Linked DNA regions of Nothobranchius furzeri. The protein of the gene in region 2 interacts with the protein of the main gene of each other region in a biochemical or structural test. Links are inferred from orthologs where the notes say so. Each region holds a gene or a part of one and is shown on either strand. Other genes may lie near its edges.

Region 1 (3,833 bases), about 63 Mb from region 2:
TTTTGTGGCTTTGGGGATGCTTTCGCCTGAGTTTGATTCCTCCCTCCCAGATATGCCAGAAGGGATGTTCTCCCCCTGGGAAAGTTCACCTTGAACCTGAGCGGCTGTCCGACCGCGCCCCCGTACGCCGAGCGCCTTTACCAGATCATCCAGCAGCTTGTGCCTTCGGTGAGTCCAGACCCAGAGGTTTCCGTTTCCGTGCGTTCGTCTGCTAATGGGCCTTAAATGATTTTACCTGCAGTCCCATTACCTGGGCATGAGCCTCCAGAACATGAACCAGCTGCGGCTGGTGCCTAAGAAGGACTACATCGCAAACCGCCTGACGAGCGGAACCCTGCAGCTGTCCCAAAACACCTCCCTCTTCCTGGATGAAACCCAGCTAGAGCAGGGACAGTTGGACACAACAGGTGGGACCTCTGCTAGCCACAAGGGGGCAGCACTGATCATCCTAATGATCTGGTAAGCAATCTTCTCTCCTGTGTTGTAGGTGTGCGTAATGTCACGGCCATGGGGAACCTGATCTCGTGGCAGAAGGTTGATTATGACTTCAACTACCATCAGATGGAGTTCCCCTGCAATATTAACGTGCTCGTCGCATCCGAGGGTCGCTCACTGCTGCCGGTAAGAGCCAATCAGGTGCTGCTGCAGACTGTAAACTCTCTCCTGTCTATTTAAGACGCGCACCCCGGTTGGGTTTCCACTAGTTTCTCATGAGACGCAGCCGCGTCAGAAGCTGGAGGTTGTGCTAACAGCTGCCACTGGCCAGCTGCAGACCCCCCTCCGTGCCGCAGCCTTAGCCGGGGTGACGCGCTGCTGCCGGCAGCACGAGGAATGCGCCATGTGCTATTCCTGGATGCTGCTCTAATGAGTTGCCGTGTTGGCAGCTGCGTGCTACAGGAACAATCCAGGGAGTGGCGTCACATGGGGCGATATGCTCACCCCGAGCGCTGTAAACAAACCTGTACATGGCAGCGTTTACGTCAGACTGTTTATGCTGAACCGTGGGCTCAGGCTCGAGGCTTTCTCTGGCTCCTGGGTGAAGTCCTGACGCTTCTATTCCTACAGTCCGACTGTCACATACATCTGCAACCGCAAGTGTCTTCGTCCCACGTAGAGGAGTACATCAGGAGCGTCCACGTCCACCCGCAGGTGTCCTCGCAGCTGAACAAGTTCAGAGTTTATCTGGGCGTGGCACGTCTGCTCGACTACAGCATCTCAGACGACGTGACCAAGGTGAGGCTGGACGTGTGCCAGGACACGGTTAAAGAGCCTTTTGGTTGTTTTTACATCTCTGCTTTCTGCCCGTCAAGTCAGTGGAGGAGGACTTTGTGGAGATGAGGAAGGACGACCCCCAGGGCGTTTCTGCAGAAGATCTCCACAGGCTGCTTGTAGTGGCCAGGTGAGCTCAGACTAGGTTCTCCTCCAAAGTAGAACTGAGTTTTATTAGCTTACAAGGCTGTTGAAGACTAGGTTCTTCTAGGAACCATTTATTTTTTAACTAATTATTTCTGATTTTAACAGTTCACTCTGAGGTTTTTCATGCAGGCTGAACATGATGATAGTCTCCTACACCTATCTCCTGCATTAAGGTTGGTTTATGCTTGACGCGTCCGCGAGGGCCGCACGGAAAAGTTGCGTCATTTTAACAACCACGCCCCTCCACCGCACCTCCGCACGGCCCAGAATTTCCGCAACGCACACCTCGGAAAATTTCTAACCACGCGGACGGACGGACGCGGGAAAACATGGCGGACCGGCAAGATCTAGTATGGCAGAGGTTCGTAAATACAGACATTTGTATGATTCAGCTCTCAGAGATCACCGTGATCAACATGTTGTTAATAATTCTTGGAGAGAAATAGCTCGCACTGTCGGAAAAGACGAGAACGCTGTTAAAAATGCTGAAATGCCATGTTGTAAACAGTAATTTCTACTTCTACTATGGTGTAGTGTTGGATGCATGCCATAGAGCTCCATGCTGCCCCCTACAGTTTGGGAGAATATTGGCTCACCGCAGAGACAAGCCGCACGAACCATAAACGCTGCGAGTTGTGAAGCGCGTTCCATCCGCGAGCCGCATCACCGCGTGGAAAGTAAATGCGTCAAGCATAAACCAAGCTTTAGCTTCTGATAGAAAACAGACGGTGAAACTCTAGGATTAGAAAATCCTGACAGATCTAAGTCACACTGTCACTAACATTCATCGACTCGCCCATGTTGGCTCACGACGGGGAAGGCTGTTGTTGGTTTAGCGTCCAGGAAACAGCAAAGAACGTCTCAGCTAGTAGAAGCTAACTGTTAGCATTAGCAACTCCACCACACAGCAGAACTTCTCCAGGCTTGTGTTATTTGTGGAGATGAAACATCAACGTTGCAGAGCAGTCAGTGGTAGAGTCGTGTTGTTGTTAGCCAATCAGAGCTGTCCAAATATCAGGAATCCAAATCCTGTCGTCTGTAACTTTTTTTTTCTCTGGCAGCCTTCTGTGAGTTTTTGTCCCCGGAGTACGACTTAAAAGGCATTTATTCCACTGCAAAAATATAAAAAAATGAGTAAAGTTGACCAAAATGTACATTTATGTTCCTGAATAACATCTGCACAACAAATGCTCTAAAATCTGTTTTTATTTGCCATATCTGGCCGCTGCTGGTGACACTTACTCCATAAGTTCCACATAAATAAGCATTTATTGTAGAAACCTGAGCGTGAACCGTTATGACAGATCAGTAACTGGTGTTGTGTTCAGCCTAGCCGTTAGCTCATCGGTGCGGTCATAAAAGCCGTTTGTCCAGACTGCGGCTCCTCGTGAAGGTTAACTGAGCGCCGAACGATGCCTTCTGACCGTCGGCATCTAGATTTCCTGTTCAAGATGAGTGAAAAGCTGAAACCCGACTGAGTGTGTGTGCGTCTCCGTCCGCAGGTTGCTGTCCCTGAGCCTGGGACACACGTCCCTGTCCAGAGACAGCTGGCTGAGAGCCAAACACATCGAGACACTGCGAAGGAGCCGAATAGAGCAACACAAGAGCGTGAACGGCAACGAGCCGTGAGCTCACGCGCGGGACAGCTCAACGGTTTTCCTTTTGTTAGAACAGTTTAATAAAGTTTTTTCACCTTTTTGTAAACTAAAGATTTATATATTCCAACTAGAATTAAAGGTATGACTCAATAACAGCCGACTGTTTATAATGTGTAACTGCAGAGCCAACTTCCTGTTTACATTCAGCACGGTGCATTTAACAGTTTGTCTCACGAGTAAATAGATTTAATAAAACTTGTGCAGCTCATGTGTCATCTTTTCATTCCAGACCAAAAAGTGTAAAATGTTCTTTTTATTAACACCCAAAGATAATAAATAGGATCCTTTAATATACAACACATCTGAGTACACGGTGGAGAACAATGTCATCGGTCAGGTTGGTACAGAAGAGGAGACGTGACATCGGGGAAATGTGCTTCAGCAGCGCCAACAGAAAAAACCTGATATTTGTGTCTCGGGTCGAAACGAAAGGACACAAAAAATGCACTTGGTGTGAAAACAAAAGGAGACAAAACAGCCAGCAAATGTGTCAAAGTAAAAAAGCTGACAGCATCAGGAGGAATGCTTTTTAGCACAAGATAAAACGAACCGCTCCAGTGTTGAACCTGATTAAAATTCCCGTAAGCGTTAAAACTGCGCTACAGCTGCAGCTTTGGCAGCACCACGTACTAAAAGCAGCACCTGCAAAGCAGCCAAGACTGAAGTCTCGTGTCACACGAACCAGACAAACAAATCCACGCGTTACCTGCTGGTGAGCCAACGGGAGTGAGGACTACAAAGATGGGACCCCTTTCATCT
Region 2 (4,383 bases):
GGTCTGTGATGGACTGGGGACATGTCCAGGGTCCTTTCCTCTCACCCAATGCCTGCAGCTGGAGATGGGCACCAGCTCCATGTCGTCCTAGTGAGGATTAAGTGGATGGATGATTGTGCACAAGTGACTTAGAGCTTGTCCCAAGTGCACAAACCAAAATACAACATGGCAGCACCTGCACACAGGAGTCACTTGATGGGAATAATGTGTCTAGTTTCAATGCAAGTTCATGAAAATACCAAACAGGATCATACCTGCGGTGGTGGAGGGTTGATGGTTTGGGCTTCTTGCACTCATTGAGTCTACTCATCTTTTTTTAATGGTTGAAAAGTGAGTTTATGTCTCTGATGTTTAACCCTCTCAGGCTCAAAATAAGTTTTGATAAAAGGACGAACAACTAAGTCCTTCAGGGGTACTTCTGAGTTCAAAAGTGCTCATGAAATACTTATGTGGAGTAACCAGGTAGGTAGGCTTTAACTGTTGCAGACGCCTGCCTCCAGAGGGTTAAGGGAGTTGTTCTAGTAGGAACAAATGTCTTGTAAGTTGTTCTCGGGGGTGAAAAATATACCGATGCACTATTTATCTGACCTAAAAGTTGCCCACGTTACAGCTGAGCTATTTGGACATCTCGCCCCAGATTGGATGACAGCAACGCGACTCTACCATTGACTTGCAACAATGTTTTATCCACTAATAACACAAGTCTTGAGGAGCTTCTGCTGTGTGGTGCTGCTGCTAATGCTAATGGTTAGCTACATTCTCTGCGGTTTCCTGGACGTTAAACAACAGCCTCCCCCGTCGTGAGTCAAGATGGGTGAGTCCATGAATGTTAGTGACAGGGTGACGTAGATCTGTCAGGATTTTCTAATCCCAGAGTTTCACCGTCTGTTTTCTATCAGAAGCTAAAGCAGCCGGAGATTGGTGTAGGAGATTATTCTCGTGTTCAGCCTGCGAGAAACACGAGTGGCTGATTGATCATAAGTAGAAATAAAAATAAAAGAAGGCTTTTTCAGTGTTGCACTCTTTTAACGCGTTGGAGTAAAGTTGATCATGAAAAGGGACCAAATCCCAAACACAGCTGATCTACAACAGAATGGTGTCCAGAGTCCAGACCCACAAACCAGAATGATGGGAAGTCTCAAACTCTTCCAAAGCCGTGTGAGCCTGAAGCACCCAGACTGGAGTTTTGCATGAAAAAGGTTGAAATATGTTTCTAATAAATGTTAAAGTCTGATCTTTGAAGACAAAACAGCTGAAACGTTTGCGAAAACGAGCTAGATGTTCTCATGGCTCCTCTGCATGTTGAGCTGGGCAGCACGACGCTCCCGCCCCTCCCCCTTTGTGTTTTTCGCGCCACAACAGCGCTAAGCTCCACCTTCCCCCGTAACGTCACGCCTTTTGGAACCCTCTGTGACCAATAGAAAGAAGCCGGATTTAATTCAGCCAATCAGAGAACAGAAGAGGCGTGTAGCGAAACAAGCGGCTCGCGGGAAACAGACAGGAAGCAGATCGTTTTTTCCCGCGAAAGGACTTCGCTCTGGCGCATTGTTCCTGTTAGTGCCGCTCTCTGGGATCGCTCTGTCTGAGAATAAAGTCGTGTCCCAGCTCCGAGTTTTAGTTTAGTGAGCTGCAGCAGGATGTCTGGCTTCGACATTCCCGGAGTTTATTACAGCGACAGCTTCGGAGGAGGAGACGCGCCCGGCGGGGACGACGGCGGGCAGAAGCGGGCTCAGATCAAGAAGCGGTTCCGAGAGTTCCTCCGGCAGTTCCGGGTGGGAACGGACCGCACCGGCTTCACCTACAAATACAGGTGAGCAACACAGACGGCCACAGCCACCAAAGAACTGGTTTTAATAAGGAGGTAAATGTTCGAAGTGAAACGACACAAAATGTTAAAATAAAAGAAGTCTTTATCCGGAAGGTACCTACCAAAATAAGAGCTGGGTGAGGAGATCTAAGGTTTCAGGGTGAAATGAGGCTTTTTTGTGAGTGTGTTCCGCCATCTTTAAGGGAGAGCTACCGCGACCCCCCCTCCCCGTGCCACGCCACACACACACACACACACACACACACACACACACACAAGAATGGGCTCTCTTCACCCTGCTTTTATTTTGGTAGTCTGTCCGGATTGTAACATCTGTCCGTCCTTCCCATCAGAGATGAGCTGAAGAGACACTACACCCTGGGAGAGTTCTGGGTGGAGGTGGAGATGGAGGACCTGGCCAGCTTTGATGAAGACTTGTCTGACTGCCTTTACAAGGTTCCTGCGGAGAACCTGCCCTTGGTGAGTCTTCTGCTGGAGCCAGACCCAACTGTCAGGCGAACCTTTCCAGCGACATCCTCTAACAGATTTTCATTTAACAGCTGGAGGAAGCTGCCAAGGAGGTGGCGGATGAAGTGACCCGTCCTCGACCTGTAGGAGAGGAGGAGGTGCAGGACATCCAGGTCATGCTCAAGAGCGACGCCCACCATGCTTACATTCGCACCCTGAAGGTACCTGCTGACCCGTGTTGTTTAAGAGCCTTGTAGTCGTCGCGCAGGACTGGATTACACTACTTTTCTTCTCGTACAGTCGGAGCAGGTGTCTCGTCTGGTGAAGGTGCACGGGATCATCATCTCAGCCACGGCGGTGAAAGCAAAGGCCACCAAGGTGTGCCTCCAGTGTCGCGGCTGCAGGAACACCATCAAAAACATCGCGCTGCCGCCGGGCCTGCAGGGTTATGCTCTGCCCCGCAAGTGCACCAGGTGGGCGTAACCCAGAGGAGCCGCGCTTTCCCCCGGGCTTTCGGCCATCAGCGAGGAAGCTAACGCACCCCTTTTGTTCTCAGTGACGCTCCTGGGAGAGCAAAGTGCCCCGTGGACCCGTACTTCATCATTCCGGACCGCTGCGTTTGCGTGGACTTCCAGACGCTCCGTCTGCAGGAGTCTCCGGATGCCGTGCCACACGGAGAAATCCCCCGGCACCTGCAGCTGTACTGTGACCGGTAAGGAGGGGCGGCGTGGCGTGGCGTGGGTGTTTGAGCCGGGGCGGTGTGTTCTGCTCACTCAGGTGTCTTCTCTTCTCTCAGGTATATGTGTGACCGCGTGGTGCCTGGCAACAGGGTTACCATCCTGGGGATCTACTCCATCAAAAAGATGGCTGCTGCCAAAGCAAAGGGCAAGGAGAAGGGCATCGGCGTCGGGATCCGCGCGTCCTACTTACGAGTGGTCGGCATCCAGGTGGACACAGAAGGAGCAGGTACCGCTTTACGTCTGCTTCACGAGGCTGGCCTCTAGTCCACCCGGAGAAACGTTCCCCTTCTTCATCCCGTCCAGGTCGTGGTGCCACCGGGTCCGTGTCTCCTCAGGAGGAGGAGGAGCTGAGAGCTCTTGCTGCTTCTCCGAGCATCTACAACTCTCTGGCTCAGTCTTTAGCTCCCTCCATCTACGGCAGCGACGATCTGAAGAAGGCCATCACCTGTCTGCTGTTCGGAGGCTCGAGGAAGAGGTGAAACCGCCACCTCGCCCCATTCCCCCCCCCCCCCCCTTAGGGAATTTTGTGGATATTTAATCTGCAGAAATGTTTCTTATCTGACTTTAATAGGTAACCTTTTTGATTTTCTTCCTCCAGGCTGCCCGACGGTCTCACTCGCAGAGGCGACATCAACCTTCTGATGCTCGGAGATCCCGGTACGGCCAAGTCTCAGCTGCTGAAGTTTGTGGAGAGGTGCTCGCCTATCGGGGTAAGAGAAGCTTTCCCGGAGCTGCTGCTCTGACGCCAGCATGAGGAGAAGCTCAGCGGTGTGTCTGTGACCTTCAGGTCTACACCTCCGGGAAGGGCAGCAGCGCAGCCGGCCTGACCGCCTCGGTGCTTCGAGACCCTAGCACTCGTGGGTTCATCATGGAGGGAGGGGCCATGGTGCTGGCCGACGGAGGAGTCGTGTGCATCGATGAGTTCGATAAGGTAGGACCGACGCCCGAGCGTCAGCGTTAGACCCGGTTCGGAGTCTAAATCTGAGCGGTTTCTGTTTCTCAGATGAGGGAGGATGACCGCGTGGCTATCCACGAAGCCATGGAGCAGCAGACCATCTCCATCGCTAAGGTACGTACAGCTGATGCGCCATCTTGGATGTGAGACGGTTGCCGTGGTATCCTGACGTCCTCGCTTCCTCCAGGCGGGCATCACCACCACCCTGAACTCCCGCTGCTCCGTGCTGGCCGCCGCCAACTCCGTGTTTGGTCGCTGGGACGACACGAAGGGGGAGGACAACATTGACTTCATGCCCACCATCTTGTCTCGTTTCGACATGATCTTCATCATCAAGGACCAGCACGACCAGCAGAGGGACATGGTGAGGAGGCTGGAGCCTCGAACGCGTCGGCGCCCCCTTCCTCCGGAGT
Region 3 (3,604 bases), on a different chromosome or scaffold from region 2:
TGCTCTATTGCCTTGAAGTCATCAGGAGACATGGGCATCATGTTGTCCTGCAGCCTGGAAGGGTGTCTGGACCAGAGCAGAACCAGTCAGAACCTCGGGTTATTCCAACATTAAACAGGTCTGTTTAGTGAAGGCTTACACTTCTGAGACGGATATGAGCTCCGTTTTCATGTAGCCGCTTTTATCCGTGTTCTCCACGTCCATGGGCTCCTGAGCTGGAAGGCGATGAAACTGTGATCAGGATGTGTTTTATTCTGGAGCTGAATGAAACTCAGCAGCAGCTGTGAGGCTTACTCTCTGACGGTTTGGGGTAGTATTTCCCAAAAGCCTTGTCTTTGGGAATGTTGGGGTAGAGGAAGCGCAGAGGGTTTTCTGGGATGTTCTCGGCTGCCATCACCTTGTAGGTGCGGATGATGTCCGGCAAAGACACGGCTGTCAACTCCTTCTTTGTGTACGGCTCTACAGAGTGGTAAACCGGCTTGTCTGGGGGGAGGAGAAACAGGAAGTAGATTGTTTTAGGAACAGGAAGTTTGAGCTCATCGGAGGTGACAGGTATTGTGGCCCCCATAGGAGATGTTACCGTGGACGTCATGCTCGATCCAGGTGAAGGTGATCGCTCCCTCCTTGCTGCTCTCACTGAACCTGAGCAGGAAAGTCCCAGGACACTTATCGCTCAGCAGAGCCTTCTCCCTCTCTTTACTGATGAAGCCCATGATGCAGCTGCACACAACAAACACACCCATCAGTTGGATTCCGTCCTCGAGGAAGCGCTGCGTCATCACGGCAACTCACCCGTCGTTCCACAGGGACAGCAGGTGGCGTTTGATCAGGTCCAGGATTCCTTCGATCCACAGCCAGAAGGGAAACGTCTTCTCGTTGGCTCCTTGCTGCCGAGCAAACGACAAGAACTTCAGGTTCTGCTCCAGCAGCACAGGATGACAGCAGGTGCTGCAGGGCGACTCGGGCTCACCTTACAGAATTTTGTCCAGGGGATGAGTCCTTCTGGATTCCTCTGAGCTTTGGCTCCTGAACAGAAACACGAAAACGTTCAGATATAAAGACTCAAACCCAGGGTAAAAGAAGAGAGCAGAACCAGATCAGACAGGCTGATCCAGGATCTGTTTGTGTGTCTGACCGAGGAGTTTGTCAGCCAGCATGTTGAGCTGCTCCTGGTTCAGTCCTCGCTTGGTGACGGACGAGAACTGCCAGCTTAGAACCTCGGACAGCTGAGACCACTTCGCCGCTGGAGGGTTGAGGAAGAACTTCAGGTTCTGGAGGACAGATGGTTCTGTTAACAGCAGAGCGACACAGGGCTGACGGTGGTAGAAGAACCGGGTCTCACTTTGGGTTCTGTGGTGAGCATGTTGTACCAGAGGATGGAGGCCCAGCCGCTGGGTAGCTGGCACACATTGGAGATGACCACGACGGGCAGAGACACGGCCTGACACACAAACACACACCTCAACACACACGCTCGCTGGAGTTTGGTCTGCAGAAGTTGTGTTCGTGTCTCGTCTCACCTCCAGCAGGATGGTGAGTCCAGAATGGTGCAAATGCAGGTCGGACTCAAAGCTGAGCGAGTGGAGTTCCTCTGTGACGATCAGAGGCGCCTGAACAGAAACACACAAAGGTCCAGACAGGGACGAGGGAGGGATTAATCTCAAACCCGAAGAACTAAATCTGCTTCACTTCAGCAGCTGGACGACGACGAGACGTAGACGTTTGTTGGAGAAATGTTTTGACTCTCCAGATCAAATCAGTTTGTGATGCAAAAATAAAAATAAAAGTTTTTATTTTGTACATCTGTGTTGTCATTAAAGCTGACATTTACATACATATATAATAAACATGAAATCAAAGATACTTTATTAATCCCAGAGGGAAATTAAGAGTTTCAGTACACACAACTCAGAGATCAGACATACATGGGCATAGACACATGACAAGAATTGGTGACTGTGGTCATTTGCAACCTGAGTCGTGCTACCTTAATAGAGAAAAGAGGGTTACATCAGGATTGGTTCAGGTGGAGGGAAAGACAGAGTTGAGTTGCCAGAGCGACGGCACATTCCACATATCTTCTGAGGGGGGAGTTTTCATTGGAGCCTTGCTGACTCAAGGACGCCAGATTCCTATTAGAAATTGTTTTGGGGCCAGACAGAGATAATTTCCTCTCTGTCTTACAGTTTGTTGGTCCTCAACCTCTCAAAATCCCAATAATGGGCATTAATCTATCCCAATCCGTGCTGATTCGTCCACTCTATCCTTGACAGCATCCATCTTTGTGCCAATGAATGAATCTCGGCCAAAGTCCCAAGCTTACGATTCATCTAGACAATTATGTGAGTCTGTGAATTCACAGCGTGGTGCAATCCATCTCTGAGCCCCGGGATCAAGCCAATATTCCTCTACAGCTCATTAATTTTCCGGTAAGCCAGGTAGCCTCCAATGCTGATCAGCAGGAACCCCGACACCAACACCACGAATATCCACACATCTTCAGAGTCCTCCACAGACAGCTGGTCTGTCATGGAGGGGCATCTGGGAGCCCCTTCTCCCGTTCTCATCGTTGAAAAGATTTTATCAATCGCGTTGAGTGACCAACTGACGAGATCCATTTGAGTGAATTTCAGTTTCCAGTTTCCAGAGAAAATGCAGATCAGCCGTACACCCAGCACGCAGAGACAGACAAAGGGCCTTGAGGATAAGTTATGGAGGAGAGGAGGAGAAAAGCATCTGCACCCTCCAAGAGCCGGAAGAATTTGTGACATGTAAGCTGTTCCTGTAATAAATGACCTCTGGAACTGAAATAAAGAGGAGTTTGAAGCCTCATACCTCGTTTGTCCTGTTGCCGGCGGTTTTCTGCTCTTTCAGTTGCTGAATGGAGACAAAAACAGGTCAAATAAGCAACTCTACATCTTTAGTCTCACCCAAAAGGCTGAGAGGCAAAACATAACAAACAAGGAATTTTCAGCTCATCGGGACTATCCCAATCCCATCACAGACGTAGTCTCTTCCACCTGAAACCTTTGGCTCATAAAACCAGACGTCTACATCAGGGTTGTCACAATCCTCAAGTGCTCCTCAATCAAAAATTGAAAATGCACCAGAACACTGAACAGAAGCAGTGGCGCGCCCAGAACATTTCCATAGGGGGGGCCAGTAAATGTTTTGGGGTGCCTCATCAATTCACTTTGAGAGCGTTTAGCCTGTAGCGATGCATTTCAGGCTACTTTATGTATTTTTCATTAAAATACAAAATACATCAAACACACTTACCATCAAATTCGATATTTGAGAAAAGGACACATTTTCCAAGTTATTTTAAATATTGTTTCAAAATGTATTGTTTATCACCTGCTGCCGCCTTAAAAATATTTACATTTTTTTTCAAAATGGTAAATCTAAATCGGACTTGTAATTGCAGCAAACAGCAGAGTTTAGTCTTGCGTCTACAAGCTGCTAATTAGGAATTTGTCTACCTGGCATGTACACAGCACGCTGGGTTTCACAGCCCCGGGTCTGACTCATGAAGAGTAATCCAAAGTATAACAGAAGTAGCTCGGCAAGCCATCCTATATAAGTGAGCATATAGTATGGCCAT

The links.
Region 1: the proteins of mcm5 (region 2) and mcmbp form a complex in vitro, tested with the Homo sapiens proteins (2 studies listed by BioGRID). The link is inferred for Nothobranchius furzeri from reciprocal best matches to the Homo sapiens genes MCM5 and MCMBP.
Region 3: the proteins of mcm5 (region 2) and stat1a form a complex in vitro, tested with the Homo sapiens proteins (2 studies listed by BioGRID). The link is inferred for Nothobranchius furzeri from reciprocal best matches to the Homo sapiens genes MCM5 and STAT1.

The regions. Positions count from the first base shown.
Region 1 is NC_091752.1:5,506,728-5,510,560, forward strand, and holds the end of mcmbp (mini-chromosome maintenance complex-binding protein), read left to right. Parts: intron 1-50; coding exon 51-168; intron 169-241; coding exon 242-407; intron 408-487; coding exon 488-621; intron 622-1,065; coding exon 1,066-1,233; intron 1,234-1,310; coding exon 1,311-1,399; intron 1,400-2,918; coding exon 2,919-3,045; 3' UTR 3,046-3,282; downstream 3,283-3,833. UniProt on the Homo sapiens protein: Associated component of the MCM complex that acts as a regulator of DNA replication.
Region 2 is NC_091752.1:68,041,417-68,045,799, forward strand, and holds the start of mcm5 (DNA replication licensing factor MCM5), read left to right. Parts: upstream 1-1,502; 5' UTR 1,503-1,637; coding exon 1,638-1,810; intron 1,811-2,160; coding exon 2,161-2,287; intron 2,288-2,367; coding exon 2,368-2,496; intron 2,497-2,575; coding exon 2,576-2,748; intron 2,749-2,831; coding exon 2,832-2,987; intron 2,988-3,071; coding exon 3,072-3,241; intron 3,242-3,318; coding exon 3,319-3,490; intron 3,491-3,613; coding exon 3,614-3,725; intron 3,726-3,802; coding exon 3,803-3,946; intron 3,947-4,018; coding exon 4,019-4,084; intron 4,085-4,157; coding exon 4,158-4,334; intron 4,335-4,383. UniProt on the Homo sapiens protein: Acts as a component of the MCM2-7 complex (MCM complex) which is the replicative helicase essential for 'once per cell cycle' DNA replication initiation and elongation in eukaryotic cells.
Region 3 is NC_091743.1:83,724,214-83,727,817, reverse strand, and holds part of stat1a (signal transducer and activator of transcription 1a), read right to left. Parts: intron 2,878-3,604; coding exon 2,836-2,877; intron 1,611-2,835; coding exon 1,521-1,610; intron 1,442-1,520; coding exon 1,343-1,441; intron 1,272-1,342; coding exon 1,136-1,271; intron 1,027-1,135; coding exon 971-1,026; intron 888-970; coding exon 793-887; intron 721-792; coding exon 581-720; intron 484-580; coding exon 295-483; intron 216-294; coding exon 140-215; intron 67-139; coding exon 1-66. UniProt on the Homo sapiens protein: Signal transducer and transcription activator that mediates cellular responses to interferons (IFNs), cytokine KITLG/SCF and other cytokines and other growth factors.